2 linked regions of the Arabidopsis thaliana genome follow. The protein of the gene in region 1 interacts with the protein of each later gene in a pairwise test. Each region holds a gene or a part of one and is shown on either strand. Other genes may lie near its edges.

What was found.
Region 2: the proteins of AT5G09460 (region 1) and CPUORF7 interact in binary tests that used the Arabidopsis thaliana proteins (3 or more experiments, as listed by UniProt).

Annotation. Positions count from the first base shown.
Region 1 is NC_003076.8:2,945,074-2,948,828, forward strand, and holds the start of AT5G09460 (transcription factor bHLH143), read right to left. Parts: upstream 1,767-3,755; 5' UTR 1,615-1,766; intron 1,277-1,614; 5' UTR 782-1,276; intron 680-781; 5' UTR 504-679; intron 388-503; 5' UTR 345-387; coding exon 1-344.
Region 2 is NC_003071.7:13,337,461-13,341,215, reverse strand, and holds the start of CPUORF7 (transcription factor bHLH155-like protein), read right to left. Parts: upstream 2,130-3,755; 5' UTR 1,787-2,129; coding exon of another isoform or gene 1,690-1,786; 5' UTR 1,539-1,689; coding exon 1,441-1,538; intron 1,144-1,440; coding exon 1,024-1,143; intron 832-1,023; coding exon 750-831; intron 676-749; coding exon 634-675; intron 511-633; coding exon 451-510; intron 321-450; coding exon 201-320; intron 41-200; coding exon 1-40. UniProt on the Arabidopsis thaliana protein: Transcription factor that may regulate root development.

The DNA.
Region 1 (3,755 bases):
CGCAGAGGAAATCCACATTGTAACAAACGAGTCTGCTCTCCCGACTGATCGAATACTATAAATCTTTTCCGAGAAGACTTGAGTGCCCCCTCTGGAGCAGCACCGTTGCTAGATCGCCCATTCAAACATGAAACTTGTTTTCCACAAGACTGCTGATCATATCTAGACAATAAGGCTTGGAACGGTGGCTGCAAATAGCGAAACTGATGCTCAGCTGCATAAACTTTACCGAGTTCCGGAAAAGGAATTCCAGGACGGAAATACTCAGTCGCCTTGTCCTGGACACAAGCTTGAGGATTTAAGCCTAATGGCAACCATTTCTGCTGTTTGGTATCAAGAGGCATGCTCTTGCAGTTTAAGCCAAGGGAACTTTACAGGAATACAATACTGCACGAAAAAGGAAAGGGACTAATCATTGGACATGGCTATGAATGAGACAACTACTAGTAGCCCAACTCAAGAAAGCAATAATCCATAAAGAGTCAAAGATTCAGTTAGCATACCGATTGTGGAAGCTGTTGCTCAAATGTGTGGAACGCAACACTTGTTGATTCTTTCTTGAAACAATCGTATAAGAAAGTAGAGACAAAAAGAAAAAAGGTGCCAGCTCCAAAAATACAAACACAAGCTCACAAACCAACTACGTCACTGGTTTGAGTATATGTCTAAAGTATTCAGCCTGCAAGTGGAACAGAGACAAAAGTGTTAGATAAGAAACACAGGACTATGAGATGAAATGTGACAAAAAAAAGAGTATAATATCATTTTTGCTGCAACAAACCTGACAATTATCCATCGGTTGGAAGCAAGCAATAACTCTCACTACAATTGTTGGTCTGCTAGAGTCTCCGTTGTTCTCGTACTTGAATGTTCGAAATCTTGTTTGACCAGCTGATTGACTTACCATAATAATAACTTTTCCAAACTCTCGAATGTAAAACTAGTGTTTCTCCACAGAACAGAGTAAGTCACCAAAAGACAGATGACTTGAAGAAGAAAAAGAGAAGCTTTAAGGGTTTAGATGATCCTATACTGGTCACAGTGGAAAACGTAGAAACGTTGGGATCCCATTATTAAAGAGTTTAGAAAAGGCTGAGGATTTAGAAGAAGATTGAAGATGGGGTTTTTCAAGGCAGAGAAAAAGTTTACAGAATAACTCGGCAATACAGATTCAAGCTCACAACTTTACGGTACACATCAACAGACCTTGTGAACCAACTCATGCTGTTTTTCTCATTCACTGCTTTGTTGTGATCCAGAGAAAGAGAGAAGAATTCTGTTACAAAACAGAGAATCATCTCATCAAATTCCAGTAATAACAAACCAAAGAAACCAAACATTCACAACAATTGAAAGGATAGAGAAACCATAAACAGCAGAAGAAGATAAGTACATGTTCTGCAGCATTGAACAAGTATAATTTATTTTAGCAAAATCAAGAACTAAAAGCTTGGATTTTGCAAGCCAAGCTACGAAAATAGAAGAATTTATCCGTTTTGGTAACGATTTAAACACATTTGCATCAAATTCGCTGATAATTCAACTTTTTCGAGGAATAAAAAAACAGAGAGAGCACAGCGACAAACAATGGTTAAGTGAATCCAAGAAGCGTACATGGAGGAAAACAGAGGAAGATCTATGCGTGGAGATCCAGAGAGAGTGGAGAGGTTTATGAGACGAATTCACGAAAGCTTGAACGGATAAGAAACGAGAAAGCGGAATATTATTTCGAAAATATATTTTTAGCAAATTCACTAAAAGTGGGCGTGAAGACTGAAGTGTGTGACATTGCTTTATACATCTTCTTATTTCTTGTGACGATTTTACCCTTTTCCACCACTTTATTTACCGTCAATAATGGAGACCAGGAAAAGAAAAAGAAAAAGAAAAAAACAGTTCACATCAACCAAGTTTATTTCAGATTTTTTTTTTTTTTTTTTCATTTTTCTTTCTCTTCCAAAATTTAGATAACCAAGCTGGAACATCAACTCTAAAAACTCATTTGAGCAAAACATAACACCATCTCCATTGCCCAACTTTATTTTCTTCTATTTTAATATTAACTCAATTTAAGAAGAAATATAATTAATTTTACTCTATTATATATTTTAGAATAGAGTTACTACTAAAATAGAAGAAAAATGTAGAGATTACTCTATAAATAGAACAAAAGACAACTTACTCTATATTTGTTTTCTATTTTAGAGAAAACTTTATTTTAGAGTCATACAATGAAATAAAATACCTTTAAAATAGAGTCAATTTTAAAATAGAAGAAAAAATAGAATTGAACATTGGATATAGTCTTATTATTTTGATTTTTTACTATTCTTTTTAGTAGAAATTAAAACTAAAATACACTTTAGTATGAGTTTCAATTCATATTTCTAACACATATTTTTTATAAAGAAAAATTAAATTTATTTAATTCAGTTCAATTTAAATTTATTTTAGAAAATACATATAGTATAATTTAAAATGCATATAATTTTGAATTGAATGGTAGAAATAATCTAAATATTTTTATTAGTTTGGATGGTTGCAATGGGACGAGGAGTAGAGGAGGTGGAACGTAGAATATATGTAATTATGATGTATAATGGCAAACCCTCGCGATCCATAATTTCAAGCCATAAATTAATAATTATGTAATATCATAAACGTGAGAATTTCTTAGTAGTTCGTTAAAGTAAAGCCATTATATGTTCGTCTTCTTTTTAACTTTTTTTTTTTTTTTGGGGGGGGGGGCAACGTTTTTTCTTTATAATTATGAGCCAAATAGTGGAAGTGAGTTTTTAACCATTTTGGTGGTTTCTATAATCATTATTTTTAAAGTATTAACCTTTCTTTTTAGGTGTGTGGGTGGGATGATTTGGAACATTTATGTCTTTACGATGACGCGATACAAATTGAACTATATACATTGTAACATATTTGACTAGTTTAGTAGCTAGCTAAATAATACAATATTTTTGACGTGGCTTATAAAACACCAATTTAGCCCACTCGTTTTTTCATATATAATTACGAACTATTGTACATGATATTTTAATAAGTGATTGAGGTGAAAAACGTTGGAGCATCCACCAAATTCCATGATCATAGGAGAAAGAAAAGAAAACGAATAAAGAGGTAAGCAAGTTTGGTGAAAGAAGAAAAAAAAAGAAAAAGAGAAAGAGACGCAAGTGAATGATTAAAAAAATGCACAGGGAATTAAGTGCTTAATTGCCTTGATGACTTCTTTTTCTTTTTGGAACATTTTTTCTAAAGATTTTAATTTCTCGTTGAATCTTTTTTCTTTATTTTGATGTGATATGAGATTTGAGAATAGTCGTTGCCGTGTGAGATCAGTGGACCCAAATGCCTACTATGTACTTCAAAATTCTTAAAATTTTAGGAAACAATTATTATGTGTTCTATTCGGAAGCAAATCATTGAAACATGTTAAAAGAAAGACAGTTAGATAGAAATTTCAGTGTGAAAAAACAAAACATAGAAATTTCAGTTCACATAATTGAGACTGGGCTTTGGTTAGATGAGTGGAGTGGCCATGCAAAATGGAGCCTAAACATGGCCTTGGACTTATTTTGGGCCATGTCTCAGCTTTGGATAACTCTTATACAATCTCATAAAACAAACACCAAATTGCCACCAGCTTCAAACTCAAGTAAAAAAACTTTAGAAAGATTTTATTTCTCTTTTATAGAGATAATATGATCAAAGTCAATAAAAGAAAAACATTATTGTTAATCTTA
Region 2 (3,755 bases), on another chromosome or scaffold:
GGAAAGCCTCAGCATGTAAACCTTCAGAAGGCATTTTTGGCTGCAACAAAATTATACAACACATCATGGTCTACTCAGGAAGTCAGTGGAGGTTTGAGTAACTGTTAGAAGAACCCTAAGCACTTTACTCTCCCCATTTTGCAAATAACAAGAAATCTAGAAAAAACATGAATCCATATTTGAATGAAGAAGATCTTTACCAGACATAACGAATTGTTCATATTACATTGCCTTAAATTTGCTGCATGGTCTGCCAATGGATCCCTAAGTGCCAGAAATAAATGTCGGATATGATTCACAAAATTCACATCTTCATTAACCTGCTCCAAACAAATACAAAATAAGACCAGATATGTATATATGTGCCATCTATTATAAGTGTGCAGGTGTTCTTCCTGGCTATTATTTTGTAACTGCGAACACCGCATCCAATTTTAAGATCTTACTTACTTTACACAAAGAGCCTAGCTGAACAACTCCACATGGACCAACAGCTACTACAAGAATGGTCTGCGGAGAAGGAAGAATAGATATTTTAAAAAGGAAAGTCTCCAGTGGCAAACTTTGAGGATGTTCTTGACAAGTATGTATAATAAAGCAGACAGAAAGAGCACTAAAGAAAAATCCAAATACCTTAATTCCAGCAGAAATTTGACTTTCCCAAACGTTATGAAACTGTAATTAAAAAAAGACATTTGGTTTAAAAACACGAAGAAAACAAATTTAATTTCAGATAGAAAGTCCCTAACCTCAAATGCTGAGTTACAGTTGTTATAATTTTCGGGAAATACCCATTGGTGTTCTCCAGAAACTGCAACTTGTCCTACAATCCTGTTTATATAGATATGATAACATAATTCAACAATAGACCCAAGATTGTTAACTATTGTAAAAGCTAACATCAAGCTCAAGGACACAACAAAAGCTTTGCATTATGTGGCTACTGTCAAATAAAAAAAGAAGGAAAAAGGGCACATCAAACTATAGGCATGATAAGAGTGAATCAGAGCAATATATTCTTACCCTTCCCCTAGAGAATAGACATGATAAGACATCTTTGCCACAGCTAACCCAAGGGGGTCATGTGCTCCATGCATATTCGTCCCATGATGGTCATAGTAAGCATCCTCCAAGGTAAGTACCCTACAGGTGTTCATTATTCAAAAAATTGAGAAACTATCTGGTCAACTAAAACACTAAAACATATAAAGAAATAGAATCCTGAACTGCACACAAAACTTAAAAGTACAGAAACAATCTTCAGACACTTAAACTACAATTGTTAACTTAAAGCTGCTGCATTTCGATATAAGGTTCCATATTTCCACTCTAGCAAGTTGAAGTCAATACACCTAAATCAATTACCACAGTTCTAACTCGTAGACAATTATAATGATCCACCACGCAAAGACAGTAAAGAGAATTGTTTAGATGACTCACATTCGAGATCCTCGATGATTAAGTTGCCAGAACACAGCATAGTCCCAGTCCGTGTTAAAGCAAAAGCTCTTCAGTATCTCTTGAGAAGTAGAACCCATTCTAAAGGGTAAACCTCAAAACCCCGGACTCAAAAACCACAAATCAGAACTCTAAACAGTTGTTTTATACTATCTCCTCCCCAACCTCTAATAAAAAAAAAAAGAAGCTTCTTTTGATTCGTTTTCGATGAGATACAAAGTAACTAACTACCTCTGTAAGAACCTCTTCCAGCTTGTTCCCTTCGTAAACCAGCTCTTGGTTTTATGGGCGGACCTACTTCATCTTGTGATATTTGCCTCTTACCCATCCCTCCCAAAGATACAAACTTTGAATCGGATTACGAATAAAAACCCAAGAAGGAAACTAATTTAGCCCTAGCTCAAACAAAAAACACCGAGAGAATCAGAATTTGAAACAGAGATAGATCTGCTGCAACTGCTACTCGCCATGGGAGAAATCAATATTGAAAATTCAAAAGCTAGAGAAGAAGAAAGAAGACAGTAGAAAAGGAAGCAGAGAGAGACAGAGAGATTGTAAGAAAGAATCGAGTTTAGCTTATGTCAGAAGATATTGATTAACTACAACAGTTGATCTCTGCATCACTCAGAGACACTAACAATCTCAGCCCAGAAATTCGCCGGAAAAAGGAAAGAACAGAGATAGAGATAGAGAGAGAGAGAGGGTAAAGGAGGCAGAGGTAAGCTAAAAGACGTTCCTTTTTAAAAGGGTGAAGGAGAAATCGAGCAAGTAAGCGGGTGAATCACGCACCATGCTCATTTTAGCAACGAAAGGCCAAGGATCGGTGTGCGCATGTTAACTATTCGAGTTAGTGGGATGGTGAGTGTGTGTGTGTTTGAGGGTATGGGATTTTATGGAGATAGGATCTCTCTCTCTTATAGAGTAATGGCCAGCAAAATGATTCACCAACTGAACTTTGCTTCCTTCTTTACTTTTTTTTTTACCCATTACTCACAAATTTATAAAATATTTTACACATTGCACTAATTTATCGTGTGTTTAATTACAAATTCATCACATTAACATCACAATCTTTTTTGTATTTCCCGCGGAAATTGTGCGCTAAACATTGTATACTCGGCTCGTTTACCGAAGTTGTAGGAAGTCTACTATGAATTGTATATCCCATGGGAGAAGAGAGTGATGAGGCTAGAGCTGCGGAATTAGTGGTAGGATTCTTAAAGGCAAGAGTTTGTGAGTCGAACCCAATTGTCTTTCTTGATAAGTTTGTATCATATATTTTATCTACAGAGTAGATAATTCGAATCTCGTATATGTATAAAGAGGTTAACCGTCTAGCAAAAATATTAGTGAACTATGTATATACTTTACTTTAAGGTGTCTATTTGTTTGATTTGACTCATACGTTGGTGGATAAGATTGTAAAAAAAAATGTTTGAGGAATTGCGTTTTCGAGGCTCATTCGTCTATAGTTTAATTTTTTTTTTATTTTGAATAAATTTTGAAGAGACAATTGTTTTTCCCATATACTATTAAAATATAATACTTTTGTAATAAAAAACCTATGATATTTAAAATGTTGTACATGTTTTATTACAACTTCCATAATAATTTTCCTTCTAATTCATAAGATAAAATATTCCGAAAATTTAGCAAGTGTCCCTCGTAGTCGTAGTGACAATCCTACTATATTATTTGGGAAGTACATTTTAAATATAACCTTAATTTTTGTAAGTAATTACATAGGTATGCCATTAGAAATAAAATTTTAAAAAGTAAATTAATTTATCTCTTTAAGGATTAAAAAGTCAAATACTAATTTAATTAATTAAATTAATTAAAAAACGAAATACAATATTAATTTCCAAAAATAATAGCCAATCAAAATCAACATATAAGATTTGATATCTAAATTTAATTAATTTAATTTAATTAGAAAAACGAAATAGATTATTAATTTCTAAAAAAGTAACCAATTAAAATCAACAAACTATATTTGGTATCTAAATTATCATATTAATTTTTTATTAATTATTATAGTTCACTTCTCATCTTTATATGATTCTATTTATACGGAAAAATAATATCATCATTATAAAAAAATAATTAGAGTTTTTTCGCATATGCCATAATTTGAATTTTTAAAAACAAATATAAACTGTTCAATACATGAAATAATATTATAACGGGTGAAAAATAGATTTAAGAAAACTTTCTACTGAGTAAGGGGACATAAATTTGAAATATTCATATTCAATTTCATACATATTATATTGAAAATTTATAATCTTATATAT